3 linked regions of the Lonchura striata genome follow. The protein of the gene in region 1 interacts with the protein of each later gene in a pairwise test. Links are inferred from orthologs where the notes say so. Each region holds a gene or a part of one and is shown on either strand. Other genes may lie near its edges.

What was found.
Region 2: the proteins of BHLHE40 (region 1) and NAA50 interact in binary tests that used the Homo sapiens proteins (3 or more experiments, as listed by UniProt). The two-hybrid records come from large-scale screens. The link is inferred for Lonchura striata from reciprocal best matches to the Homo sapiens genes BHLHE40 and NAA50.
Region 3: the proteins of BHLHE40 (region 1) and COX5B interact in binary tests that used the Homo sapiens proteins (3 or more experiments, as listed by UniProt). The two-hybrid records come from large-scale screens. The link is inferred for Lonchura striata from reciprocal best matches to the Homo sapiens genes BHLHE40 and COX5B.

What each region holds. Positions count from the first base shown.
Region 1 is NC_134614.1:23,079,615-23,089,300, forward strand, and holds the start of BHLHE40 (class E basic helix-loop-helix protein 40), read left to right. Parts: upstream 1-5,432; 5' UTR 5,433-5,470; coding exon 5,471-5,550; intron 5,551-5,645; coding exon 5,646-5,715; intron 5,716-6,095; coding exon 6,096-6,203; intron 6,204-6,689; coding exon 6,690-6,813; intron 6,814-7,844; coding exon 7,845-8,704; 3' UTR 8,705-9,686. UniProt on the Homo sapiens protein: Transcriptional repressor involved in the regulation of the circadian rhythm by negatively regulating the activity of the clock genes and clock-controlled genes.
Region 2 is NC_134604.1:28,276,610-28,286,579, reverse strand, and holds the start of NAA50 (N-alpha-acetyltransferase 50), read left to right. Parts: upstream 1-5,689; coding exon 5,690-5,861; intron 5,862-6,317; coding exon 6,318-6,437; intron 6,438-7,394; coding exon 7,395-7,461; intron 7,462-9,940; coding exon 9,941-9,970. UniProt on the Homo sapiens protein: N-alpha-acetyltransferase that acetylates the N-terminus of proteins that retain their initiating methionine. Has a broad substrate specificity: able to acetylate the initiator methionine of most peptides, except for those with a proline in second position.
Region 3 is NC_134634.1:5,221,226-5,230,947, forward strand, and holds COX5B (cytochrome c oxidase subunit 5B, mitochondrial), read right to left. Parts: upstream 3,972-9,722; 5' UTR 3,940-3,971; coding exon 3,846-3,939; intron 3,477-3,845; coding exon 3,403-3,476; intron 2,707-3,402; coding exon 2,607-2,706; intron 2,222-2,606; coding exon 2,109-2,221; 3' UTR 1,782-2,108; downstream 1-1,781. Other genes in the region: PURB (transcriptional regulator protein Pur-beta), read right to left, coding at 1-539; calsenilin, read left to right, coding at 5,214-5,316, 6,558-6,682, 6,766-6,835, 7,212-7,282, 7,528-7,635, 7,714-7,818, 7,918-7,980, 8,202-8,249. UniProt on the Homo sapiens protein: Component of the cytochrome c oxidase, the last enzyme in the mitochondrial electron transport chain which drives oxidative phosphorylation.

The DNA of each region.
Region 1 (9,686 bases):
AAGTGGAGAATATTCTCTATGTTAATATTTGACTCAGCCATGATGCAGTTCGGCCCCGTAGCTGTTGTTACCTGCATCCCCCAAAAGAACAACTGGGAGCCTCAGTGGTGTTGATTCCTGCCGGGGTACGTGGGTGCCAGTGGAAAATAAATAACATGGTATTTTCCAAGTGGCAGATCTGAAGGCACCCTGCTTTCCTTGCTTTGCATACTCACAGAGCACCATCCTCTCTGCTTCCCAGATATGAAAGGCGAGGCAGAGACATCTGATGGGGCTCCAGCGCTGACTCACTGTTTGATGTGAGGCAGGAGGAGGGATGTGATCAGATCCCATTGTGCAGAGCATCCACCAGACAACGCCAGCAGCGGGAGGAGAAGCGATTCCTCATCCTCATCCTCCAAACCCTGCTGTCACACCTCGCTGTGCCCTGCCCCACCTGCAGCAGCCAGGATGTCACCTCTGAAATGGTTCCTGGGTGGTGGATCCCCATCCCTGGCACTGTCCAAGGCCAGGCTGGATGGGAGCAGCCCGGGCAGGTGGGAGGTGTCCCTGCCCACGGCAGGGGTGGAACTGGGTAACTTTAAGGTCCCTTCCAAGGCAGCCCGTTCCACGGGTCCCTGATTCCGTGATTAGGCTGCGTGCAGACGGAGCTGAGGCCGCTGCAGCCCCGGGGTGTGCCGGCTGTGCACGCCCGGGGTTCTTTCTCACGAGATGGTGCAAGAGCCGGGGGGGAACTGGTTAAACAGCGTGAGCTGCCGGGGCTTGGCAGGGCAGCGTGTCACCGGGGAGCCGGCGTGTTTCATTAAACACGCTATCAAAGTGGGCTAAAGTCTCTTATTAATGGCCACACATTTTGCCACTTCCAAATAGTTTCCACCTACATGTTCCTCCCACTGCCGCACTGGGTGCTGGCAAACATCGCAGCTCAAAGAGGGGAATGGCTTTCATTTGAATAGTCCTCGGGCGAGTTTCGCTGAGCGATGCCAGCGTCATTCCCGCAGCTCTCACGTGCCCGGCAGCGCTCCAGGGTCGTGCCGGAGGGAGGGCGCACAGACAACAGCTCCTGCTGTGTTTTCCCAGCGCTTTATCCAGGCAGAGCCCGTGGCAGCCTAAACCGGTGCAATTAAGCAGCGATGGATGCGCGTATTTGCAATGTTCAATCTCGGCTTCTGACTCGTGACGGTCCCACGGCAGCGAGCGCGGCCAGCTGCGCCATCGAGAGTCTCACACAGCTGAACCCAGCCGGCCTCACACCAAATCGGGCTTTTGCAACTCCCAGGAGGCTGAGGCGGAGCCCTGGTGGGTGTCAAGCTGCTCCTCACGCCCTGCGCTGAGGTCCCACGGCGTCCCTTGGGACCGGCCTTGGCTCAGGGGTGTGGGCTCTGCCACAGCCTCGGGCACGGGGCTGGGAAAGGAGAGGTGCGGCTCTCCTGGGAGCTGCTGCCTGGCCACATCCCCCCTGCCCGCACTCTGCAGGACCACTGCCCGCACATCCTCGGGGATGGAGGCGCTGCCCGTCCCCGCCGGAGCCTCCGCTCCGGCCCGGGAGCGCAGCGGAGCCGTCCCGTTTGCTGAGCACGGAGAGAGCCCCGCTCCAGCTCTGCCGGAGCCAGCCTGGCTCCCGCTGGGCTTTTCCTGCTGCGGAAAGCACGGGGTGTTCCTGCCGGGGCCGAGGATGCCGAGGCGGAGCGCATCCCGCTCCAGCCTCGGCGGGGCTGAGCTTTCACCTCCGGTGCCAGTAACCCGAGCCGGGATTGCTGGAAATGGGAGAGGGGAGAGTCAGCGATTTGATTACAGGCCACAGGCACATGCCTGGCCTTCATGGATATATTAAGTAAGAGACATTTTAAAACAAAACCACCCTCAGTAACCTTATCGTAAGCTCGAATCCACAACCCATCTGTTAACTCCCGGCGCTGCCCACATAGGCTTCCATCAGACAGCAGTGCCAGGGATTTTTGGAACGTTTTCCCCCAAATCCCTGCGGTCGGAAGGGGACAGTCCCGGGGAAGGGGCAGATCCTGAGTCTCGGATTCCCAGCCCACCCCCAAACCAGCCCCCAGACTCTCACCTTCTCGTGCCTCTGTAAATAGCTGCAAATCCCCTTGGACAGAGCTGTCGCGGTCCTGTGACTCCCAGCCCTGCTGGAGGAGTGCTCAGGAGAGCTGCTGCTCCACGGATGGCTTGAGGGAATTCAGCCTTTTTAAACATTTTGGTACTGCCTGAATCGTGTGGTGTAAAGGAGCCCTCCATGTAGAAATAATTCAGCAAACACAAGCGAGAAGGCGAATTGATGATTGCATCAGTCCTTGCTCATGAAAACTGATCCCCGGGAAAATGTAACTCAACTCTCGAGCAATCTCACTTGATGCCCAAGAATGCAATAACTTCATTTGGATCCTCCTTTTTAGGGGGACTCCTAAATCCTTGGCAACGTCCCTTAAGGTCATGAGCAAATCCTGATATGGAGAATTGTTTGGCAAGCACGAGAACAGTAAAAGGGCTAAATAATTGGGGATTACCTCTGACCCTGATTTGTGGCTCACCACCCACTGCAGGAATGTACCGAATATCTGAAGGAGCATGCAGGAGTCAGACAATCCACGGGCATGAAGCCGTCCACGTACTCTTGGAGCTTGAACTTCGAATGCAGAGCAGGTTGGCCCCAAACCTCATTTTTCATTAGCAAAAGGCTGTAGCAAGCTCTAATTATTTCTGTTGCCTTGGATGAAGGGTCAGTGATGGGACAGATGAAAAATTGCCTGTGTTTTTTTCACTCTTTGTTTGGAAAAGAACAGCTTTGGTCTTGGGGACACAGAGAGAGCAAACCCTCTGCTCCAGGGCTCGATACTGAGGCTGGTTTTGGTCCCCTGAGCTGCAGCAGGGGAGAAACCATCACCCTCATGTCCCCTGATGCTTCTTGCCGAGTTTGTTCAGTGCCTGCAGGAAAGAGCAGCTCTGCTGTGGGAGGTCACAGCTCTGCTGTGGTTCTGTGGCACTCCGAGCTCCGTGCTCAGTCCCAGCTCCTCTCCTGCACGGCGCCGGGGCTGTGGCACCACAGAGACCCTCAGGGTCCTGCCCATGGAGGGGGTTGGATTGAGAAGTCTTTAAGGTCCCTTCCAAGCCAAACCATTCTGGGATTCCATGATCTTGGCCATAATCACCGGGTTTGCAGGCTGGGATGTCAAACGCTGGGAGGACCATGTTGAGTGGGACAACCCAAACATCTGTTCTGTGGAAGCCCCACGTCACTGATCCAGTGCTGTGGTGTTCACACTGGAGGTGCTGCTGGGAGCTTGTAGGGGAGATTTGGGGGTTTTATAGACCTTGCATGTATGGCTAGCATCTTTCTGAGGCTCTGACTTCCCTTGGGATTCTTCCTGGTAACAACAGACACCTTTGGGCGGGGGTAAGCCTCAAACAGCCTGTCTCCATCACCCATCTAAAACCTCTCTGTGCTGTCATGTAGCACCTCCTGCCCTCGGATTCCTGCCAGGGTGGAGCAGCCAGAACTCTGCAGGCAGTAGCAGCAGCTCAGTGCTGGAGCTCTGCTGCTCCCTTATCTTGGTAAATGCACCTTTTATCAGCTAAGCCTGCCTCTACTTGCTCAGCACTCAGCAGGGAAGTGACCACGGCCCTCCAGCAGAGCTCTGCCTTGGCAGGTACACACAAACCATTGTCATCGCTCGGCGTTGTGCAACCGCTGGCGTCCAGGGGCTGGCACGGGCATGGCATGGCATGGCATGGAAGGGTCTGGGCTGGGGGGACCTTAAAGTTACCATCATCCACGCCCTGCCATGCACAGGGACACCTTCCACTAGACCAGGTTGCTCCATGCAACACTTCCAGGGATGGGGCAGCCACAGCTTCTCTGGGAACCTGTGCCAGCACATCCCCACCCTCACAGGGGAGAATTTCCTGCTGGTCAAAGAATCACAGAATGGTTTGGGTTGGAAGGGACGTAAAAGCCCACTTCGTTCCAGCCCCCTGCCATGGGCAGGGATGGATGCCTTCCACTGGAGCAAGTTGCTGCGAGCCCTGGATACCCCCAGCGATGGGGTCCTCCCACCCCAAAACTTCCCTGCAGCACTGCCACTTCCCCAGAGCCACATTTTAGCGACTCTCACTTTATTTCTTCCCCCACATTTCCAAACTTTCCGTGGCTGCAGCTTTCTCTGTGTCCGTGTTTTGTGTCTGTGTCTCTTTGGGGGTGTTTTGTTGTTTTTTTTTTTTTCCTTTATTTTTTTTTCTTTCTCCCCGATCTCGGGACACAACAGCGGTACAGCATGGTATGGCAGGGCACGGCATGGCACAGCATGGCACGGCATGGCATGGTATAGTATGGCACGGTATGGCAGTGTATGGCATGGTATGGCACAGCATGGTATGGCAGTGTATGGGATGGTATGGAGTGTATGGCATAGTATGGCACAGCATGGCATGGTATGGCATGGTATAGCACAGCATAGCATGGCACGGTATAGCACGGCATGGTATGGCATTGTATGGCACAGTATGGAGTGTATGGTATGGTGTGGTGTGGTGTGGTGTGGTATGGTATGGTATGGTATGGTATGGTATGGTATGGTATGGTATGGTATGGTATGACACGGTATGGCACAGCACATAAGGCAATATATGGCACGGTATGGCACAGCATGGCACGGTATAGCATGGTATAGCACACCGTAGTATGGCACGGTATAGCACGGCATGGTATGGCATTGTATGGCACAGTATGGAGTGTATGGTATGGTATGGTATGGTATGGTATGGTATGGTATGGTATGGTATGGTATGGTATGGTATGGTGTGGTATGGTGTGGTATGGTATGGTATGGTATGGTATGGTATGGTATGGTATGGTATGGTATGGTATGGTATGGTGTGGTATGGTGTGGTATGGTATGGTGTGGTATGGTATGGTATGGTATGGTATGGTATGGTATGTAGCATGGCATGGTATGGCACAGCATGGCACGGTATAGCACAGTACAGTATAGCAGTGTATGCCCTGGTATGGCACAGCAAGGCACGGCACGGCACGGCACGGCACGGCACGGCGCTGGCACAGCACGGTGCTGGCACAGCACAGTGCAGCGGTGGCACGGCATGGCACAGCACAGCACAGCACAGTGCAGCGGTGGCACTGCCCGGCACTGCCCGGCACAGCACGGCACAGCACAGCACGGCCCGGCCCGGCCCGGCCCCGCCGCGCCGCGCCGCACGTGCGGGGGCGCGGAGCCGGCCCGCCCGGCGCCACGTGAGGCTCATGTGACGGCGGCGGGGGCGCGGCCGCCAGACGTGCCGGCGGTCACAGGGCTCCGCGCGTCGCTCCCGTCCACCCACCCGCCCGCATTTAACCCGGCCCGCGGCCGCCCGCCGCTCCTCAGCCCGCGCGGCGCGGGCGCGGCATGAGCAGCGGCGGCGGCGCCCGCAGCCCCTGAGCCCGCTCCGCCGCGGCCCCGCCATGGAGCGCGTCCCCGGCGCGCAGCCCCCGCCCGGCTGCCTGGGCAAGCTGCCCGCCCTGGAGAGCGGAGACCTGCCCGGGTAAGCGGGGCTCGGGGGCTCGGGGGGCTCCGGGGGGAGCGGCGCCGCCGGCTCCGGCGCGGGGCTAACGCGCTGCTCTCCTTTCGCCCGTGCAGGCTGGACTTCGCGCACATGTACCAGGTGTACAAGCCCCGGAGGGGCTTAAAGAGGAGCGAGGACAACAAGGTGAATGGGGGGTGATGGGGTACAGTGAGGGGTGAGAAGGTAAATTGGGGATTAACGGGGTAAACTGGGGGTTCACGGGGTGAGTCGGCCGGTGACAGCGCTCCCGGGGCGGGGGCTCGGCCGCTCCCGGCGCGCTCGGGACGGGAGGAGCGGCGGCAGCGGGGCCGGGCCGGGCTGTCCCCCGCTGTCCCCCGCTGTCCCCCCGCTGTCCCCCGCTGTCCCCCCGCTGTCCCCCCGCTGTCCCCCGCTGTCCCCCCGCTGTCCCCCCGCTGTCCCCCCGCTGTCCCCCCGCTGTCCCCCGCTGTCCCCCGCTGTCCCCCCGCTGTCCCCCCGCTGTCCCCCCGCTGTCCCCCCGCTGACCCGCTGCCCCGGCCCCGCAGGAGACCTACAAGCTGCCGCACCGGCTGATCGAGAAGAAGAGGCGCGACAGGATCAACGAGTGCATCGCGCAGCTGAAGGACCTGCTGCCCGAGCACCTCAAGCTGACGGTAGGTGCGAGCGGAGGGACGGGGGGAGCTCCCAGCGCTCTGCTGCCGCTTCACCGCGGATTTGGGCTGGGTTTGGGGTTTTTTTTATTTTTTATTTTTTTTCCACCGTGGTGCCGCACGCCCGGGCAGGCTGTAAGCGCGTCCCAAACTTCCCCGGGAGCTGCGGCTGCCCGCCGGACCGCCCCCGACACCGGGCGAGAGCTGTCCCCGGCCGGGCCGCCCCGGTCACGCCAGGGGCGGCAGGACCCAGAAATAAAACGCTTCTCTCCGGGCTATGCGGCTGGTCCGAAAGTACCCACAGGGTTCCGTGAGAGCCTTTTCCGTAGCCGGCTTTTTAACTTATTTCCGTGCAATGCTGCCGGCGGTAGTCCCGCCTGCTCCGGGTCTCACCGTGCCCGTCCTCCCGCGGCTCCCGGGGAGGCACCGGCGGCTCCTGCGTGCCTGGCCGAGCCGGCGGCGGGTGCCAACCTGTCCCTGTGCTCCCAGACTCTAGGGCACCTGGAGAAGGCTGTGGTTCTGGAGCTCACCCTGAAGCACGTGAAGGCACTGACCAATCTCATCGAGCAGCAGCAGCAGAAGATCATCGCTTTGCAGAGCGGTTTGCAGGCGGGTGAGTGTCCGGCCGGCAGGGTGGGAGCCCGTGTGTGTGTGATGGGCTTTCCCTGGGGAGCCTGTGAAATGTGCCTGTGACACCCTGGTACCGAGAAGGGAGGGGACAGGAATTCTGGCTTTTCCTGCTGTCATTTTCTCAGGCTTTGCTCATGAGCTTTCACAAAAAATGATGCATTGCTCAAGATGGTCAATGCAGAGTGCCCTGGGAGTTGTTTGAAATTAAACTGGGTTTTAAGTAGTTTTAGTTGCAGCCCAGGTTTGCAGTGAGGTTCTCTCCAAAGCCATTCGATTCTTCCCATTTGTGCTTGTGACGCAGTCTGGTTTATTTGGTTGTTTTTCTCTGAAAATAGATATAAATCTGCTTTCTATACACACCTTTTTAAGTGTGTATAGAAAGCAAATAACCTTAAGCTTTTTAAGTTTCTTTATAACCGAGCTGGCCTGTGCTCTGCAGGCAGAGGGGACCCGGTGCTTCAGCTTATCAGCCTTAGATGCACTTCCTCCTGCTGTTTTCACATGTGGCTCTCACGTGAATCAGACACAGTAAACCCGAATTTTTGGGAGGTGCCGTCCCTGCCCCGGCAGCCACAGGGAGTGCAGTGGAGCAGTGGAGTCCCCTGGGGCTGGTGGAGCTGCTGGCAGGGCCGGGAGCTCCCTGCCCCGAGGTGCAGGGCGAGGTGCCCTGCCTTCCCCGGGGGTTTCCTGGAGAAGCCACAGCTTGACTCACTCCCCTCCCCGCACTCCAGTACCTGTTGAAGGTGGATTTTACAGTAAATAACAAAAAAAAAGCAGGCAGCACTTTACGTGAACTTTTTATGTAAAAGCGGACAGGTGGATGTTCCAATGGAATTGTCCATTTCTGCAGAAATCTGGGGATTTCTGTTCATAGACTCCAGCTTGGCCAGTGCTTTCCCCTCTGGCCGTGCTGTAACCCAAGTCCAGCGTCGCCTCCGGTCCGCCTCGGAGCTGGAAATGGAACTATTTAGCATGTTGTTAATTTTTAATTTCTTTCTGTTAATGTTTCCTTAGGTGACCTGTCATCGAGAAACCTTGATTCCAGCCAGGAAATGTTTCGATCCGGTTTCCAGATGTGTGCCAAGGAAATGCTGCAATACCTGGCAAAGCACGAGAACGGCAAGGAGCTGAAGTCGTCGCAGCTGGTCAGCCACCTGCACCGGATGGCCAGCGAGGTGCTGCAGGGCGGGGCCGCCCGCAAGGCCGGGGACATCCCTCCCAAAATGCTGGACTTGAAGGAGAAGCCGGCGCCGCTGGGCGCGGCGGGCGAGGGCCACGGGAAGAACTGCGTGCCCGTGATCCAGCGGACATTCGCTCACTCCAGCGGGGAGCAGAGCGGCAGCGACACGGACACGGACAGCGGGTACGGGGGCGAGCTGGAGAAAAGCGACTCCAAAGCGGAGCAGCCCTATTTCAAAAAGGATACCGACCTCAAGTACGCTGTCCAGGAGAGAATAAGCTCTATTAAGCAAGAGACTGAGGACCCGCCGGCCAAAAGGAGCAGGCTGGAGTTGCCGCAGGACGAGGGCCCTTTTGGCAGTGACATGATGGGCTCTTCCAGCAGCTTCCTGGGCCCCCACGCTCACCAGCCTCCCCTGTGCCTGCCTTTCTACCTGATCCCGCCGTCCGCCACCGCCTACCTGCCCATGCTGGAGAAGTGCTGGTACCCGGCCTCGGTCCCCGTGCTGTACCCCAGCCTGCCGGCCTCTGCCGCAGCTCTGACGGGCTTCATGAACCCCGACAAAATCTCCCCCCCTCTGCTGATGCCCCAGAGACTCCCTTCTCCTGTACCGGCCCATTCCCCCATCGACTCCTCGGCTCTGCTTCAAGCTTTGAAGCAGATTCCTCCTTTGAACTTGGAAACCAAAGACTGAGCGCAGTGTGACTGGTTTTTCTTTTTTTTTTTTTTTCTGTTTTTTTTTTAGTTTGAGAGACTGTTTCACTTTTATATATTGGCTGGACTGAGGTGTGGGGACAAGGTTCACTGTGCGTAGGAAGCTAAATCCCTTTTCTCTGACTTGTCAGGTAGCTTGGAGAGGGATGAAGGATGTGCCCAGGTTAGCGATTGACAACTGCTTCCAAAAGATTAAAGAAGGGTTTTGTGCTTGGCCCCTTCCCTTCTTCCCTCTCCACATCTACAGAACAACAGTTGACTCGGTCAGCTGCGAATCTATTGCAAAACTGTGAAGAAATATTCCATTGGGCAGACCTGGTTCTAGGGTCTGCAAATACAAAATAAGTGAATATAAACCATGGTACTTCCCTGAGCGGCTCTGGAGGCAACGGCCCCGCTGGCTCATCTGGCTGGACTGGTGCCCCAGTGACCCCGAGCGTGGCAGGGTGGTGGTGGCAATGCCACCACGAGCACAGCAGGAGCAGGGCAGTGTCACTGGTGGTGGTGGCAATGCCACCACGAGCACAGCAGGAGCAGGGAAACATCACTGTGGTGTGGTGGTGGCAATGCCACTGTGAGCACAGGAGGAGCAGGGCACTGGTCACTGCAGGGGCAGCAATGTCACCAGGAGGAGCAGGGCAGCAGTCACTGCCTGGTCACACACAGGTCAGGCAGACCTAAGAGAGGTTTCTCTCCACACCTTTACTTTTAGATAGGTATTTTTTTAACAAATAAAAGGTAGCTGCTGCTTGGAGCTTTCCATGGCGTTCATCTAATAAATAAATTAACCTGTGCCCTTCCTGTAACTCGAGCTGCTACGTTGGGCCGGCTCGGGAGGAGCCGTGCCCGGGATCTCCCGGTCGGGAGGAGCTGTGCCCGGGATCGGGAGGAGCCGTGCCCGGGATCGGGAGGAGCCGTGCCCGGGGTCTCCGGGTCGGGAGGAGCCGTGCCCGGGATCTCCG
Region 2 (9,970 bases), on another chromosome or scaffold:
AGTTTATTTTTCACTTGAAGATTTGAGACCTAGGTAGGACATGTTTCAGCTGGAAAAACTGTGAGGCTATTATAGCATAACTTTGCTTCTTGCATGTGAAGACTGGCCAGTCTTTTGTATGTGGTCAAGTTTTCTAGGTTGAAGCAGAGTAAATTATATTGAGATATAATGAAGAAACCTGGCTGTAATGTGCTTGTGTAGTTTTTTCCTTTTTTAATGCTAAAGGGAGAGGCAGCTAGGGTCTAATGTTTGTCTTGGGAAATAATGATGTATGAAACCTTTTCACAGTGAGATCCAGTGGTCTTGCAAGTCTTGAATGAAGTCTCCTGTTAATTCTGATTCTAAAATTGCTTTGTTTTCTTCTGTACATCATTGTGCTCTTCTGCAGGCCAAAACTGGGGGTAATGTCCAGAAGGATATCAGGTGTCATGCAATACATGTTTTCAGTAGAAAGCAGGACTAAAGAAGATCAGGGGTCTCAGAGCAAATTGTTAAGGCTTTTTGCATGCTAGGTTTGTACTTATCCTTCTGGTTTTCTGACAAGCAAAGCAGAGTAGATATGCAGCCCACAGATCTTTGAGGTAATTGAAAACATACTGGTCTGCCCACAAAAACTAGACTAACTTGTGTATGTGTAGCAAGACAGCTCATCCATTTAAAAAAGATCCTAAAAAAACAAACAAAAAAACCCATAAAAAATCCAACAACCCCAAAACACTAGAAGAGGCTCTTTTGGCCTTGGAGTAGAATCTAAGCAGAGCCACACTCTTGAGGTCTATAGCCTTCATAGTTCTGCTTTGGTTTTATTTTATGAGCGGATTATCCTGTCTAGACTCCTGCTTTGACTTGGATGCCAAAATAGAAGCAATAAAGCTAGCTGGCCGCTTAGCAGGTGACAAACTTTCTCTGAAGTCCCCTTAATTTGTTAGGGCCCATTTCTCAGTGCTGCCTCTCCTGACTTACTCCTCAGTAAGTTTTGCAAGTTTCAGATACAGCTCTGCTAAATTTAGCCTGCCAGATGCCTTCAATAAACCCAAGCTCAGCTATCAGTTACACAGAGATCTGTTTCAGGCAGGCACAGCCCTCTGGGGAGAGACTTGCACTATTTAAAGTTGAATGAGACTGAGATTCTTACAGCATTAAGAACGGTGAAATTCGCTCTTTTTCTCCCTGATGCTGTTTCTAAACTAGTGTTGGGCACTTGTTATTCCCAGAGAGTGAATTTACGTTTCCTGTTGAACTGTAGCTGGAAATTGGCTGCCTCTTGAGCTGTCATTCTATATAGCAGTTCTCTTTTGATATATGTTGAGAAGCAAAAGTCAGTCTTAACATAATTAGCCTATGTTACTTCCACCAGTATCAATGTAAGACATTGTAGGAAAAATAGACTGTTCAAATAATGGCACTGTAAGCTGCAGACAGAGCAATGCAACTGCAGCAGGACTAACTAGATTGCATTTGGTCCTACAAAATGTGTGAAGCTTTTTCTAGCCAGTGCCTGGAGGATCTTGGGACGCTGGTATGCAAGAGCAGGAGTGTTAATGCCAATGTTCTGGGCATGCATCCAGTTTCAGGAAGTGGTGCCTGTCACCTCACTGAAGTCACACTTCTGTTCAGATTTGGTGGATCACTCTTCACTTCCGCTCTTACATTGCTGGGCGGTGTTGCTGTGTACTTTTAACAGATAACAGCCTATGCACCAGCAACTGATTCCCTTTACTAGTGAATTCTCCAAGTGTTTTTTTTCCCAGTGACCAAGTCATGGAATGTAGCAGTTGTGAAAAATGCTGAATGTTTCTTGTGAAAATGTAGTCCTAGGATATGTCAGGAAAATGCTTCTGGTAGTGACATGAAAAACTTAGTGGCATTGGACAAGACAACAGTGTTTGGGGCTGCTGTAATTGGTTTTGGTTAGCCATGTTTAAGGAAAATCAACTTTAATCAGAAGGAATGTAAGGAAGAGCTAGTATGACAATAGTGGGAATTAAGAGCTAGTCTTACAGGAAAAGGCCAGGAGCTTGGCTTTAGTTAGAAGAAAGGTATGAAGAGATCATGATAACCCTCTGAAAAGGTCTGTGCAATGGTGCCCATGATCTCCAGGCAGCATAGAGGTACATTTGTGTACACTGGAATTGCTAACTGAGAATAATGGTAGCTTGGAAACAGCCTTACAATGGAAGACATTTAAGTAGCTTCAGAATGCTGGTGTTCCATTGAGGAGAGGGTATGGATTTGTTGAACACTGTAGAAGTAAAAGGCCTGACATGCTAAGCCAGGAGTCCCTCAATCCTCTGTGGTAAAAATAATTGCTTGGGATGGGGTGACTGGCTTGTCCCAGAAGCTTTGACATCTGAGATGGTACAATACAATAGTACTGTTGACTATTGCATCTTCCATGGAGTGCCATTTGAGCTGTGGGGTGCCAATAGTAAGTGCTGATCTTCTTAGGAATATTAGTGGCATCATAGAGTTCAATAATTTGTTATGGGAGGGCATGTCCCTTCTGGGCATTTTGGGTTCTTTATACATATTTATGTTCTCTCGTATGATAATTTGAGCTTGTAATTTAATTTTCTGTTTTGCCAACAGCAGAGGACAAGTGTTTCTGGTACACCTTCTGCTAAGCTGGAATGGACAGGGCTGGCCTAGTCAGACCTTAAGCTGACATAGTAAACTGAAGTTACTGATTTGGCTGGGACTTCACTTGAAGAAGCAGGACTAGCAGTAAACTGCTGTTAAAAGCAATCAACAACCCCCCCCAAGCTGCTTGCTTTACTTTGGTGAAAATAGGGGAGTGATAATTTTGAGTCCTTTGTTACAGGTGCTCTTGGCTATTTGGAGTAGTTTTTTCAGTCCTTAGGATCAAAGTGCAGGTTGTTCTATGAATGACAAAGTGTAACACAATATCTGTAGACTGTGTTCACAGATGTACTGGATAATCTACATCCCTGTGCTCCTCTTGCACTGTACTTCCAGTTTAAACTGAGGTGAACTGGCACTTCTGCTCAAGAACCGATTAGTTCTGCCTATGGCAACTTCTTTTCTCTTCTTCATTCTGGCAGAGGACTTGTGTGGTGAAGCCAGTCAGGGGACTGATATGGGTTAAAACTAAACTTTCCTTTTTTTGTCCAGGTTAGTTTTAATTAGTGTTAGTTCACCACATTGTTGCACAAATGTTTGTGCCAGCAAGAGGATGGAAATAAGTGGCTCAGGGACAGCAAGACCACTGCTTTTGGCAGCAGTGCCAGCTTTTCCATGATTTTACTCAAGGCCTCAGTGGCACTTTTGCCATGCTGTCCTCAGGCAAAACCATGAATTCTCATAATGTGGGTCTTCCTTTCCATGTTCTTACTTAATTTACGTATTAAATGGTTTTATGCATAATAGATGTGGTGCTGATTTAATCAGCTAGTGCCAAACATTAAAGTAATTAATGGTTTGAGTACAGGCTATTTAAACAGATATGTTTAAGGTATTGATTTATGCTTCCTGCAGTGTTTCTCAAACCTCTTTCATATTATTCTCCAGGGGAAGATACTGTCCCTGGTTTAATTCATGCAAGGACAAACCAGATAGTGACGGAGCATAGGAGACAAGCAGCAGGAGATGGCAGGAGGCAGCAGTGAATGTTGCAAGTGGTGAGAGATAGAGGGGGGAAAGTCCAGGGGCTTGAGGAAATGTGTCAGCAAATGCCTTTTAGCCAGCTACTAACAGAGCTCACCTCTGATGCCAGCCTCAGAGATGATGTCTTGGCTCAGCAGCTCCCAGCCTTAGACTCTGCTTCTGCATTTATTTATTTATTTGTTCTCTGTCTGAAACCTTATTGGTGAAGATCCATTTTCTGGCCATTTTCCCTTTCTTAGCCATCTTGTCCTGGCTGTCTGTGGTAATATATTTTTGTCCTGTTGCACTGTCGTAATAAATATTTCATAGTGACTATCTTCTAATGCCTGGTTTGTTTGATTAGTAACTAATTAATCTTTAAATAATATTAGAAAACACTGCCTGGTGATGGTCTGTGTCAGGGATTTTTGCTCCAAAGGAGACATGGTGTATAGCAACTGTTACGAGTTCATCATGCTAGCATTGCTGATCTACTGAAGCTTGGAACTACTGATACTTTTTTGTATCACCAAGGTTTATATTGTGTTATTCAGAGAAGTGGTCTAGGCTTTCATTAACTGAGTATGAATGTGAAGTTTGTCTCTTCCCTTGCTGACCTCCTGCGCTGCAGCTCATCTGACCTAGCTGGGCACTTGAGACCTGCTCCCTTTGATTCCTACTCTCATGCAGACTGCAGCAAAAGGGACTCTTCAGGCATCTTCTCCCTCCTAATACGAGATTACTGAGATGCTCTACTCCAGAAAAACTCTTTCATGGACACAAATATACCCAAGAACCCATATGCCACAGTTTTACTCCTGCCTTTTGTGAGGACAACGTAGCAGCACTGCTGGCTGGGATCAGAACTTGCCTTCTGTGAGCCTGAAGAAGCCCTGCTGTGCTAAGCTGAGCAGTTGTGCCACGCTGGGCATAAAACAAGTACTACAGTTTCTCCACCATCTCATAACTTTGATTGCATGTTTATTTACACTGGGAGTACTTCTGTAGTGAGAGAACATCATCTTTATTAGCTCGGGACTTATATTGTGTTGGAATATAATTCTCAAAGGGACTTGTGCAAATGGCCATACATGAAAGGAATCTTGAGAGCAAATGATATCTTTAATGCTGTTTGGGTAGAAAACAATCTGGTTGCCCATAATAATTCAGTAAAACAGGACTGATATGAACCAAGAACTGTGGGCTTTTCTAATTCCATGTGCACTGGCTTTCTACATATTTTGGTTATCATTTGGGAAAAGATTTTAATTATCTTGATCTTTTTATTTTTCATTCTTGTAGTCATTGTTGAAACTGCTTGCCCTTACCCAAGGGTAACTAATCTCTTTAATTTTATTTTTTTTTAAATGTTCTTCTGTGTGTATAGTATTTCTGTCAGGAAGTTAGTCTTAGAAAAGAGAGAAGCTTGGTCTGTTTCTTCTTAGTATAGTTCAGTGTATTTTAAGGTTATGGTTCTGCTTTCAGCAGGAAGAAAGTTTTCAGTGATGATCAAAGTAGATGCAGATATCACCTTGAGAAGGGCACACTTGCATATTAACACGCTTAATATATTTGTTGCATACAGTACTTTTGGTTTTTAGAGACAGATGTCTAGTAAGGACTTTATCTAAGTGTAGGCTTTATATTGAAAGGTGGTAAAATTGAGAATGTCTTTGAAGCATGGATAAGGACTTCATTTCCATGGTCTGTTCTAGCTTCTTGTTCCTCCCATATTTTCATTGGGGTTTTTAATTTTTTTTTCTTGTCATCTTGATGGTTAGAGGGGAAATGAGTGGGATAATGTTAAAGCTAATACTTCTGTAGAGATCCATGTTCTCCTGTCTCCCAGCCAGTAAAACCACAGATATACAATGGTACAATAGTGTTTAGTGTGGCCTGAGAAACTTCTGACTGTAGAGAACTGACTGAAACTAGATTAGGGACTTAAATCAGCCACCAGCATAAGACTTGATTGTATGGGTTGGATGTGGCAGTTCCAATATGTATTGAGCTGACTATTAGATGGGACAGTTCTCTAAGGATAAGCAAAATAATTGATCTTGGGTGTCCTTAAAAATGTTGCTGTATGTCAGATGTTAAGCATGTTTTGATTTGTTCCAGTAGCCGGATCGAGCTGGGAGATGTGACGCCACACAACATTAAGCAGCTGAAGAGGCTAAACCAGGTCATTTTTCCTGTCAGCTACAATGACAAATTCTACAAGGATGTACTGGAGGTTGGCGAACTTGCTAAACTAGGTACAAATGTTCTTGCCAGTAATTGTGGGCTGTGGTGGCAGAAGTGGTCACATTGCTATCCATAATGGTTTTGAATAGCTGCTCCTTCTATTTAGTTGTTTTACATCATGAAAAATAACTGTTTAAGAACCTCAAAGAAGCCACAGAGGGTCTGGATTCTAAATAGATTACGTCCCACTGGGAATAGCCATTTTTGCTGTTCCAGAAGAAAACAGTTGTGCATTGCCAACTTACCTTGTGATCTCATTGCTGGTTGGTGTGAACAGTGGTGAGCAACCACTGTGTCAAAGCAGCACTAGTTACTTCATTCCATGTGTGAATTCACAATGTATGTTATTTTATCTGGATGGGAGAATGAACGAGAGGGGAGGGAGGAGAATATAGGGTGTAAATGAAAGAGCTGTATGTGTAGTTTGAGACTTGTTACTGATAAACCTTTGTTTCCCTCTCTGGCAGCCTATTTCAATGATATTGCAGTGGGAGCAGTGTGCTGTAGGGTGGATCACTCCCAGAACCAGAAGAGACTGTACATCATGACACTTGGATGCCTGGCACCCTACCGAAGGCTAGGAATAGGTAAGGAGGGTCTTTTTTTTTTTTTTATCTGAGGCACCAAAGAAACCAGGTTGCTGTCTAGCTTTCTAAATGCTCTTTCAGATTTTTAACCAAGTTAGTGCACTCTAGACTATGGATTTTCTTTGGAAGGGACTTGGGGGAAAGAGTATGATTTATCATGTGCTCATTCTTCCCTACCTTTCAGAAATGAACCTTCTGTAGAAAATTTTACTTCAGGATTTCAGATTATTTTAATCATATTATCATACTGTTATGTAAATACTCTGCTTCTGTGGATGTGAAAATTGTTGCAGAGAGAGATGAAATAATTTGTCAGAGATATGTAGATAGTATGCAAGTCACACATAAGTAGAGCACCACATTCCTTCATTGGCTTCTCTCTTCACTCCTCTAAATGTAGGGGCTTTATATTTATTTTGTCTTTATCACTACTGATTATTGCTGCTCAGGGGTAGCACCTGCTTTTTGTCTATATTGCATTTAGTTCTTTGCTCCACATTGCAAAGCCATAGGACAGATTAATCATGACCTGCAGTAACCTGTTTACCTTGACAAACTGGATTGAAAAGATAATTTTGTTTTAAATTATTTTACTAGGTCTATAGTAGAAAAAGCTTACCAGTTCCCTCACTGCTTTATACAATATTTCGGCTGTATTTTGAGCTGAGTTTGAGACCTTGAAACTATTAAAATAGCATTAAAATAAGCTGATTTATAAGTATGTTTCTGGTCTGTGACTTTTATTTCTTCTTCAAAGAAACAATTAAGTAAGGTTTATGAGCAATCTGAGACAGAATGAAATACCTACACATCATGCTTTATTTGCCTTTCCTAGTTTTCACACTCTATCATTTTAGTCTATCTACAATTAAACTGCCTCTCCTCAAGGAAGCACCTAGCTAAGTACAGACTAAATTGTGTCCTAGTTTTCTTAAGTATCTTTTTATCTTTTGGCAGGAACTAAAATGTTGAATCATGTCTTAAACATCTGTGAAAAAGATGGCACTTTTGACAACATCTATCTGTAAGTGAATGAGTTACACTCATGCATTTTTTGAGAAATTATAAAGGTAGATATGGGAACAAAGTGATGGAGATTCAAGTGTGGGTTTAGTGTATATTTTAGTGGGGTCATAGAATATCTTGTTAGTACTAGCAGGAAAGACTGGGGTCATATTCTGGGCTTGTTGTGTAATGCTGAGAAAACCAAAAGCTGCTTGATTTAGAAAGGGTTCTGCAAATTTGCTGAATTTGAAAGCAATTTAGTTACAAAATTATGTTCTAGAACAAAATTACATGGTAAGACCAAAAATCTTTTTTAGAAAGGATTTTATTTTTATCATACAAGGTCATCTTCAGAATGGAAAATACTGCAAGTCTTGGATGCAGTTTTGATGCATTTGTTTTCTGTCTTTTATGACAGCACTCTGTGGGTTAGAATATTAGAGATGTTTGCAAGCACTGAAAGTTTACTACATTCAGTAATAAGGCCCTACTGCTATTCTCATACTTGCACACTGCTAGGTCAGCTATTTGTTCAGCAGCACAATAAACTAGATGAGTGCCCTGACCCAGCTGGGGAAACTATTTTCAGTTTTGTTTCTGGGTGTTATTTTTCATTCTAGTATGTTTTTGGGGTTTGGGAGTGGTTTTCTTGTGCTTTGTTTTGGTTATTTTTAAAATCAACTGCATGTCTGTGAAAGCACTTGGCATGATGCAGGCAAGAGAGCAAGCACTGGGGTAGAGGGCAGTGCCAGTATTCCCCTGGAAAGGGAGTCTGAAATCCATAAATGTCAAAATTATGCTTTTCCTTTGCTGCTGGTTTCACACTTGTGCTTTTTGCTGTGCATTGGTGTCTGTGTGGTTACCAAGTGAGCTGATGGCAGTTTTTGTCTTGATCCCTTCTCTGAGCCAGCTCCTTCTTGTCTGTCACTGCCTTGGCCATCACACCAGTGCCAGCATGGTGCACTGCTAGGGATAGGCCCACGGCAGGTACAGCTTGGATGGACATTCACTGCCGCAGAACTACATCCTGAATACTTGCCAGACCTGTGGAAGATGCTTTGTGAGGAGTGTTTCATACACTGGTATCACTGTAAATGGAGTGACTTTCTCCTCAAACTCTCCTGCTTCTGCCATGGAGGTGCAGACTCTTCCATGTCCTTTGCTGTTGTTGCTTTGTGCCATCTCTGTAAGAGGAGTGTGTTTTAAAGAGGTGTCTGAGTAAAGTTACTCTTGGCTTGTACTCCTTCCTGCCCTCCTGCCTCAGGATAAGTGTTAATTAACTCTCTTTGAGATGCCTGCATAATGGGACAGGGGCTTTCCTTTTTACTTTTGCATTTTACTGTGTGCACAGTGAAGGAACTGCTTGCTGATTCTAACCCTGCCCCAAATCCTTCATAATCCTTCTTTACGGTTCCTAGACCAAGGATTCTGGCATGACAATTAATAGCCCCCAAAATTGTGCTAAAGTTCTTTTAGTGGCCCATTGATTTTATTACTATGTCTATTACTTGTGCATCTTCTATTTGAACATATTAGGCAGTTTAGTACCAAATTTGATTTCACTGCCTAAATTTGTCATTACAATAAAGTTTAGCTTTTAGCTTTTTGCTGCTTATTTGGTTTAACACTAAGATCTTTTATTTTGTTCTGCTGTTGCTTCCACAGTTACTTTGGTTCTGTGGTTATGCAGTGTGTTGTCATGACAAAGTGATTCATGAAGTTGTGAAGTGTCTGCTGAACTTTGGGAGTGTCTAATGAATGCCTTTTGTTAATCCAAACATTTTTATTTCTTTTTTCTCTTTCTTATTTTTGGTTTGTTTTTTTTTTTTTTTTTTTAATAAGTGAAATTTGTGCAGATAAATATCCTAGTCACATAGGATAAAGAACTGACAGCTGTTTGTTTTGGAGACCTTGAGATGTGCTAGCAAAATTTGTAAAACTCCAGGGGAAGTAAATATGAGGGAAATGGACTTTGCAAACCATAGGACTGTTTTGTATTACAGCTTTTTGTAGGAGACAGAAGTGGTTGGAGTAGAGCAAGGTGTTAAAATCATATCAAACACCATTGCCAGTTGTATGTTACAGTGTGTCGGGATCATCGCTGAGACAACTCTTCTGGTCATCTGCAAAGTGTTACTACAGGAGGTTAAAGTTGTCTTTACAGTGAAACTCTGTTACATATTTCCACTAAATATCTGCCATACTGCTTTATCAATATGAAGAAAAATTGAAATTACAGAGGTAGTAATGCTTCAGAGTCTTTCTGTTATCTTGTGTTCCTTGAAAGTTTTACTGAGGGGAAACATTTACTTCTATTGACAGCCATGGGCCATCCAGGAGCTGAGTGTTAGCCCAGAATTGGGAAACCAACATTTCCAGTCTTAGAGTTACACCACTGTTCCTTCTCTATCTAGAGAGCTGATTTTCTTGTCTTTGACATTTCTGAGTATGGAGGCAGTGTACTGACCCCTTTCTCTCTGTGCCCTTTTCTGTCCCAGGCACGTCCAGATCAGCAACGAATCTGCAAT
Region 3 (9,722 bases), on another chromosome or scaffold:
GCGAAGCCGCCCGGGCCGCCGGGGCCGCGGTTCACGGTCTGGCGGATGCGCAGGAAGCGCCCGCGCTGGTTCTCCTTCAGGTCCAGGTAGTACTTGCGGTTCTCCCGCACCAGGAACTCGCTCTTGAGGGCGCGGCGGGGCCCGGCGCCGTCCTCGCCCGGCGGCCCCGCGGCCTGCGCCAGCTGCTCGGGGCTGGACGGGCCCAGCTGCGCGTAGTGCTCGATGAAGTCGCCCAGGTAGTCGCGGAACTCGGCGGCCACGGCCATGGAGAGCGTCAGGCGGCTCTTGGAGCCGCCCGCGCCCACCTCGGCGATCTTGAGGAAGCGGCCCTTGGCGTTCTGCTTCACGTCCAGGTAGAAGCGCTTGTTCTGGATGTCCAGCCGCTTGGACGCCAGCTCCTGCGTCTCCTGCTCGGGGCCGGCCGCGCCGCCGCCGCCGGGCCCCGCGGCCGGGCCGGCCCCCCCCGCCCCGCCGCGGGCGGTCCCGAACCCGCCGCCGCCGCCGCCGCCGCGCTCGCTGCCGCTGTCCCCGTCCGCCATCTTGTCCGCCCGCCCCGCGCGCCGCCCGCTTCCGGCCCCGCTGCGACACCGCTGACGTCACCGCCGCACCGCCGCCGTCACGTGCGCCGGCGGCCCCGCCCGCCGCGTCCCCGCGCGCCCCCGGCGAAGCTCCGCCCACCCAGCGCTGGCCCCGCCCCGCAGCCCCCTCCCCTCCAATCCCGTCCCTCCGAGTCCCGCCCCCAGCTGTCGGTCATCATCGCCACGCCTCCCATTGGTCTCCGGGCCCGGGCCCCGCCCCGCAGCCCCCTCCCCTCCATTGGGCGCAGAGCTCGGCTGTCAGTCACGGCCACGGCTGGCTCCGATTGGCCAATGCGGCCCGGGGCCCCTTCACTGCGCGCAATTCCCGCCCTTCGCTGCTGTCAGTCACAGCCTCCCGCCGCCCCCATTGGCCAGCGGCGCTCAGGCTCCGCCCCCTCCAGCCGGGGATGCATGACGTCATGGCCATGCAGCGTGACGTCATCCATGACGTCACAGCTGGCCCGCAGCGCTGGGGCCGCAGGTCGGACAGGCGACGTCAGCCCCGAGCCCCCAGCGGGCCCACGGGGCAGAACCGGGAGAGCGCCCGAGGGAGCCCGGGGGGGACCACCCTGAAAGGACACCTGAGAACCTCTGGGGATCTCCTGAGGCCACCTGGGATCACCTGAGAACCTCTGGGGATCTCCTGAGGCCACCTGGGATCACCTGAGAACCTCTGGGGATCTCCTGAGGCCACCTGGGATCACCTGAGAACCTCTGGGGATCTCCTGAGGCCACCTGGGATCACCTGAGAACCTCTGGGGATCTCCTGGGAGCATCTGGGGAACTCCTGAGAACCTCTGGGGATCTCCTGGGAGCATCTGGGGAACTCCTGAGAACCTCTGGGGATCTCCTCGGAGCCTCCAGGGAATTCCTGAGGCCACTTGGGATCTCCTGTAGCCATTTGGGACCTCTTGGGAGCCTTTGGGCACCTCCTGTATCCACTTGGGACCTCCTGGGACCAACCCACCCCCTCAGTGCCCAGGGGCTCCTTTTGGGGCTGGGGACACCCAAAGGGGACAAAGCAGCATCGGGACCCACTGGGGGCTTTTCCCACCCAGCCCCAGAGCAGAGGCACAGTCAGACGGGGTCCCCCCACCCCAAATCCCACTCCCAGGCCGTGGTGTCCCCCCAGACCCCCACGTCCCCCCCTGGTCACGGTGACACCACCACGGCCCCATCCCCCAGCACAGACAGAGGCAGCTCTCCACACAAACTCTTTATAGGGGGACCCCGGGAGGGGACCCCTGCCCCTCAGCAGGGATCAGATGGTGGGGGGGGTCCCTCGTGGGGATCGGTTTTTGGGGCGGGGTCCCTCATGGGGATCGGTTTTTGGGGCGGGGTCCCTCGTGGGGATCTGTTTGTGGGGCGGGGTCCCTCGTGGGGATCTGTTTGTGGGGCGGGGTCCCTCGTGGGGATCCGTTTGTGGGGCGGGGTCCCTCGTGGGGATCCGTTTTTGGGGCGGGGTCCCTCGTGGGGATCCGTTTGTGGGGCGGGGTCCCTCATGGGGATCGGTTTTTGGGGCGGGGTCCCTCAGTGGGGCAGCTCGTGCGGGATCAGTTTGTAGTGGGCGCCACAGGAGGGGCAGCGCTGGGCCTCGCCCTTGTGCAGCCAGAACCAAACCACGTAGCTGTTGTCCTCCTCACCTGGGGACACAGGGACGGCGTGGGACACACGGACAGGGGACACAGGGACAGGGTGGGATGGGGACAGGTTTAGAGGGACGGGACAAGCACAGAAGGGGATGGACAAACGGACGAGGGACAGGAACGGACACGCGGACAGCCTGGACAGGCACGGGTGGGAGGAGAGACGCACGGACAGGAAAAGGACAGAGACACAGACAGACGGGCCGTGCACACCGGCAGGAGAAGGACAGACGCATGCACACACGGGGACGGACAGACGGCCACAGGGATGGGCACAGGGACACAGGACGGACAGATGGACATGGGGATGGATGGACACAAGGCCATAGGGATGGACCCACAGACAGGACAGACACACGGACGCGGGGCCGGGGGCACTCACAGACGCAGCCCACGATGCGCCTGTTGGTGATGGAGGGCACGAGGTTCGGGTCCTCCCTGGTGCCCGCGTAGCGCTTGGGCCGGAACATGCTGTAGGGGTCCTGCGGGCAGGGGCACCCCGGGCGCTGAGCACCCCCTGACCCTAAACCCAGCACCCCCAGAGCCCAAACCCAGCCCCCAGACCCCAAACCCAGCCCCCTGACCCCAAACCCAGCACCCCCAGAGCCCAAACCCAGCACCACCAGAGCCCCCAGCCCTCAAACCCAGCACCCCCTGACCCCAAACCCAGCACCCCCAGAGCCCAAACCCAGCACCCCCAGAGCCCAAATGCAGCACCCCCTGACCCCAAACCCAGCACCCCCTGACCCCAAACCCAGCACCACCAGAGCCCCCAGCCCCCAAACCAAGCACCTCCAGGACCCCAAACCGAGCACCACCAGAGCCCCCAGCCCTCAAACCCAGCACCACCAGAGCCCCCAGCCCTCAAACCCAGCACCACCAGACTCCAAACCCAGCCCCCAGACCCCAACCCGAGCACCCCCAGCCCCCTGTGGCCACACTCCCCAGCCCCCCAGAGCTGGCACACCCCTCCAGGTGACCCCGCCACCCCCCACCCCGGGACCCCCAGATCTTCTCCCCCTGACCCCCTCCCCACCACGGGCACCCCGAAACAAGCCCGGAACGCCCCGCGGCTCCCCCAAGGGGAGCTCCCTGCTCCCCTCCGCCGCTCTGCGCCCCTCCGGGGCCGGCCGAACCCCGGAACCGCCCCGGAGCCCCCGGCAACCCCCGGCACTCACCAGACCCTTGTTCATGGCCTCCATCACCTTCCGCTCCATGCCGGTCGCCTGCTCCTCATCGCTGGCCAGGTTCCCTGCGGGGCGCGGTCACACCGGGCGCACACACCGCGCCCGCGCCCTCCGCTCCATCCCCGTTCCTCCCGCTCCATCCCCGCTTCCCCCGCTCCATCCCCGTTCCCCCCGTTCCCCCCGCTCCATCCCCGCTCCATCCCCGTTCCCCCCGCTCCATCCCCGTTCCCCCCGCTCCATCCCCGTTCCCCCCGCTCCGCCCGTTCCCCCCGCCCCGCCCGCTCCATCCCCGTTCCCCCCGCTCCGCCCGTTCCCCCCGCCCCGCCCGCTCCATCCCCGTTCCCCCCGCTCCCCCCGTTCCCCCCGCTCCCCCCGCTCCATCCCCGTTCCCCCCGTTCCCCCCGCTCCCCCCGCTCCGCCCGCTCCCCGCTCACCGGGCACGCCGAGGCTGCGGGCGGGCGCGGCGCGGGCGGACGCCGCGGGCAGCAGCCGCAGGGCCGCGCTCACCCGCAGTAACCTTGAGGCCATGGCGGCGACACCGCGGCACTTCCGGCACCGGCGGAAGCGGAAGTGCGGCGGGCGGGGCGGCGGGCGCGGGAAGGAGCGGGGCGGCGGCCCGGCCCCGCCCACAGCCGCGGAGCCCCGCCCCCGGCCCCGGCCCGTGTGAGGCCACGCCCTCCGTGACCACGCCCCGTGGTGGCCCCGCCCCCAGAGCGGCCCCGGGGGTCACGGGGGGGGTGCTGAGATTTTGGGTGGGAGATCGGAGCCGGGGGCACCGGGACACACCGGGGGGACACACCGGGGACACACCGGGGGACAGGGACACACCGGGGGACACACCGGGGGGACACACCGGTGGGACAGGGACACACCGGGGGGACACACCGGGGACAGGGACACACCGGGGACAGGGACACACCGGGGATAGAGACACACGGGGCGACAGGGACACACCGGGGGGACACACCGGGGACAGGGACACACCGGGGATAGAGACACACGGGGCGACAGGGACACACCGGGGACAGGGACACACCGGGGGGACAGGGACACACCGGGGGACAGGGACAGCTCCAGGGGGACAGGGATACCGGGGGGACAGGGACACACCGGGGGGACACACCGGGGATGGGGACACACCGGGGGGACCGGGACACACCGGGGGGACAGGGACACACCGGGGACAGGGACACACCGGGGACAGGGACACACCGGGGGGACAGGGACACACCGGGGGGACAGGGACACACCGGGGACAGGGACACACCGGGGACAGGGACACACCGGGGACAGGGCCGGTGTCCCCAGGCCGAGGGGACACGCACAGCGGTCCGGGGACAGCCCCGGGAGAGCGGGGACAGCCCCTCCGCCCTCCGTGCCTCAGTTTCCCCTGCCGTCGCTGCTTACTCATCGCCATCGATCCCATCGATCCCACCGGGGCGGGGCGGGCTGGGTGGGCTGGGGGGGACACGCCAAACAACCTTTTCCCCCCCAATTCTGAGGCCGGCCCGGGTTCGCCCCTCCCGGCTGCGCCCCCAGCGCCCGGGGGTGCTGCGGGCAGCGGGGGAGCGCCCCCCGAAAAAAACGAACCCCAAACCCCCAAACTTTCTTTGGAAGTGGAAATAAAACCTCGGGAAGCCGCCCGGGGGGGCCGGGGGTGGGCGAGTGCCAAGGGAGGAGGAGGAGGAGGAGGAGGCGGCAGGACGGGACGCGGGCACGGGCAGCAGCCGCCCGCGCTCCCGCAGCACCGGCAGCGCCCCGCAGGTTTGGGGGGACCCCCGGACCCCCCAGAAAAAGCGGCCATGGGCATCCAGGGCATGGAGCTGTGCGCCGTGGCCGTGGTCATCCTCCTCTTCATCGCCGTGCTGAAGCAGTTCGGCATCCTGGAGCCCATCTCCGTGGAAGGTACCCCCCCCCCGGCCTCAATTAACGCCAATTAGTGAGTTAATGGAGTGATCGCCCCCGCCGCGGCCGTCCCCGGGCGGCAGGACCGGGGATCCCCCCGGGAGGGTCTGGGGGAAGGCGGAGGATTTGGGGGGCACGGGAAGGGCCCCCAGCCCCCCCCGGCCCAGCCGTGCTCCGGCCGTGGGGACCCCCACCCCAAAACAGCCGGGGATGGAGACCCCACCCCAAATATCCAGAGGATGGAGACCCCACCCCAAACACCTGGACATGGGGACCTCCACCCCAAATATCTGGGGATGGGGACCCCCACCCCAGAGACCACCCCAAAGCAGCCGGGGATGGGACCCCCATCCCAAATATCCAGGATGGGAACCCCCACCCCGGAGCCCCCCCTGCGCCCCGTTAACCCCCCGGAGCAGGTAACGGGACCCCCAGTGACCCCCAAAGCCGCTGGGATTGACACCAGGGACCCCCACTGCCCCCCGGGCCCCCCGAGACTCCTCACACCCCGAGCTGGGGATTCCCCCCTCCGACAGCGCCGGGAGCGTTCCGGGCCCCAGTCCCAAAAGTGCTGACACCCCCTGCGCCCAGCGGCCCCGAGGGGCTTCCCGGGCTCAAATTATTCATGAAGCATCATTTATTAATTACCTTCCGCCGGGCCGGGCGGCAGCGGCGGCGGCCGAGAGGCGGCTGGGGACGTTCGGTGCCTCGGGAATGCGGGAAAAGCCCCGGGCACGGCAGCCGCGCGTTCGGGGTCCCGGGGGTCCCGGGGCCGCGGGGGTGGGGCGCTGGGGGCGGCTTTGGGGTGTCGGGGTGTTCCTAGGGGGGAGTCTTTGCCCGGGATGGGTTTTTGGGGTCTCTAAGGGGGTCTTTGCCCGGGATGGGTTTGGGGGGTCTCTAAGGGGGTCTTTGCCCGGGGCGGGTTTGGGGGGTCTCTAAGGGGGTCTTTGCCCGGGGCGGGTTTGGGGGGTCTCTAAGGGGATCTCTTTGCCCGGGATGGGTTTGGGGGGTCTCTAAGGGGGTCTTTGCCCAGGATGGGTTTGGGGGGTCTCTAAGGGGGTCTCTTTGCCCGGGATGGGTTTGGGGGGTCTCTAAGGGGGTCTGTTTGCCCGGGGCGGGTTTGGGGGGTCTCTAAGGGGGTCTTTGCCCAGGATGGGTTTGGGGGGTCTCTAAGGGGGTCTCTTTTCCCGGGATGGGTTTTTGGGGTCTCTAAGGGGGTCTTTGCCCGGGGTCCCCCGCAGACAGCGGCGATGCCGACGTGGAGCTCCCGAGCGCCCGGCACCAGCCCGAGGGGCTGGAGCGGCTGCTGGCCCGCACCAAGTTCAGCAAGGCCGAGCTCCAGTCCCTCTACCGCGGCTTCAAGAACGTGAGCGCGGGGATCCGGGCCCGGCCCCCCAAATCCGGGCTCCCCGCGATCCTCGGGGTCACCGGCGCCGCTCCCCCCGCCAGGAGTGTCCCAGCGGCCTCGTGGATGAGGAAACCTTCACGCTCATCTACTCGCGGTTCTTCCCTCAAGGCGGTGAGTCGGGGGTCCCCGCGCCCCGGGGGGCTGCCCGGGCAGTGCCCGGCCCGGTGCCGGGGCTCGGTCACCGTCCCCACCCGGTGCCGGGGGTCGGTCACCGTCCCCACCCGGTGCCGGGGCTCGGTCACCGTCCCCACCCGGTGCCGGGGCTCGGTCACCGTCCCCGCCCGGTACCGGGGGTCGGTCACCGTCCCCGCCCGGTGCCGGGGGTCGGTCACCGTACCCGCCCGGTGCCGGGGCTCGGTCACCGTCCCCGCCCGGTGCCGGGGTCACCGTCCCCGCCCGGTGCCGGGGTCACCGTCCCCGCCCGGTGCCGGGGGTCGGTCACCGTCCCCGCCCGGTGCCGGGGGTCGGTCACCGTCCCTGCCCGCAGACGCCAGCTCCTACGCCCACTTCTTGTTCGACGCCTTCGACGCGGACCGCAACGGGGCTCTGTGCTTCCAGGTGGGAATTCCTGGCGGGAATGGCCGCGCCAGCAGCGTGATTCATCACATCCTCCCCTCCTCCTCCTCCTCCTCTCCCCTCCCAGGCCGTGGCCGGGTGCGGGGTAAAAATACCGGGATCAATGGGGATGAAATCCCTGGGGCGGCCGGGATCGATCGCGGGAGAGAGGGAGGGAGGGACGGAGGCAGGGAGGGAGGGAGGGAGGCCGGGGGACGGTCCCGCTCCCTCCACGGTCTCTCCGCCAGGATTTCGCCGTGGGGCTCTCGGTGCTGCTGCGGGGGACGGAGCAGCAGAAGCTGAAGTGGACGTTTGACCTCTACGACGTGAACAAGGACGGCCACATCAGCAAGGAGGTGACACTGGGGGACACTGGGGGGCTGGCAGGGCGGGGACAGCCGGGCGGGGACCTGCCAGCGCCCTGTGTCCCGCAGGACATGCTGGAGATCATGAAGTCCATCTATGCCATGATGGGCCGCTGCACCGAGCCCGCGCTGGGTGCCAGCGCGCCGGCCCAGCACGTGGAGCTCTTCTTCCAGGTGAGACTGTCCCCGGCCACCTCCGGGCCACCTCCGGGCCACCTCCGGGCCACCCTGCGGCCAGGAGCGCCCCGCTGAGCCCTGGCTGCTCCCTTGCAGAAGATGGACAGGAACAGGGACGGCGTGGTGACCTTCGAGGAGTTCCTGGCCACGTGCCAGGAGGTGAGGGGCTCTGGGGGGCTTCATCCTCCTCCTCCTCCTCCTCCTCCTCCTCCGTGTTCTGTCCCGAAAGGACGCTGGGAGGGATGGCAGAGGAGGGCCAGGAGGAGAGGCACGGGAGCTGGGGCTGGCAGAAGGATTTGAGGGGTGCTGGGGATGGGAGGGGAGATGGCAAAGGGTGACAAGAGGAGGGGGACGCGGGGTCTCTGGTCTCTCCTCCCCAGGACAAGGACATCATGAGCTCCATGCAGATCTTCCACAACGTGCTCTAGACCCTGCTCCCCCCGGAGCTTTCCTACTGTTCCAGGCAAACAAGAAGTTCAAAGGCAGGAGAAATCCAGCGTGTGGCTCCCGGAGATGGGACAGGACAAGGACCAGGACAAGGACCAGGACAAGGACGACGTTGCCACCAGAGCCCCCCGGGCACGGAGCTGCCCCCTGCCAGACAGACCCATTTTGGGGGGGCTGAGCCTCCCCTCGACACCGACCCCCCCCGGCGGTGCGGGGACCTGGCACGGCACAAACCGCGGGGCGGGGACCCCCGGGACGTGGGGACCCCCGGGTGTGGGGTCTCCCTGTGGCAGCCGTGGAACGGAGCCCCCGCAGGGAACGGAAAGCTCAGCCCCGCCCGCAGCAACGTGGGGAGGGGATTTTATAAATAAACCGAATGGGGACGATTTGGGGTGAAACGGAGTCAAGAGGGGTGCGCGGTGTCCCGCTCCCTGTCCCTGCCCGTGGCTCAGTCCCGGTCCCGCTCCCTCTCCTGCTCCCAGTCCCAGTTCGGTTCCCGTTCCCGGTCCCATTCCCGGTCCCAGTTCGGTTCCCGGTCCCGGTTCCAGTCCTGGTCCCGTTCCCAGTCCCGGTTCCCGGTCCCGTTCCCGTTCCTGGTCCCGTTCCCATTCGCAGTCCCGTTCCCATCCCCGTTCCCGGTCCCAGTTCGGTTCCCGGTCCCGTTCCCGGTCCCAGTTCGGTTCCCGGTCCCGGTTCCAGTCCTGGTCCCGTTCCCAGTCCCGGTTCCCGTTCCCGTTCCTGGTCCCGTTCCCATTCGCAGTCCCGTTCCCATCCCCGTTCCCGGTCCCAGTTCGGTTCCCGTTCCCGGTCCCATTCCCGGTCCCAGTTCGGTTCCCGGTCCCGGTTCCAGTCCTGGTCCCGTTCCCAGTCCCGGTTCCCGGTCCCGTTCCCGTTCCTGGTCCCGTTCCCATTCGCAGTCCCGTTCCCATCCCCGTCCCCGGTTCCAGTTCGGTTCCCGGTCCCGGTTCCAGTCCCGGTTCCCGTTCCCATCCCCGTTCCCGGTCCCAGTTCGGTTCCCGGTCCCGGTTCCAGTCCCGGTTCCCGTTCCCATCCCCGTTCCCGGTCCCAGTTCGGTTCCCGGTCCCGGGGCCCCGCCCCTCAGCCCTCGCCTCTCATTGGCTCTCATTGAAAATTTGGCCCCGCCCCCCGCGCCATCCCATTGGGCAGCCCGAAGGGGGCGGGGTCTCGGTGCCGCGACCTTCAGGCGGGCGGGGGCGGCACGTGACGTGACACGTGACGGGCGGTACCGGCCCGCAGCGCCCCCTGGCGGAGCGGGGCAGCAGCAGCCGTGAGAGACCCCCGGGATGGGGGGGGCCGGGACCGGGGAGTGACCGGGAACGGGGAATTACCGGGATAGGGGAATGAACGGGATAGGGGAATGACCGGGACCGGGGAGTGACCGGGAACGGGGAATGACCGGGACCAGGGAATGAACGGGATAGGGGAATGACCGG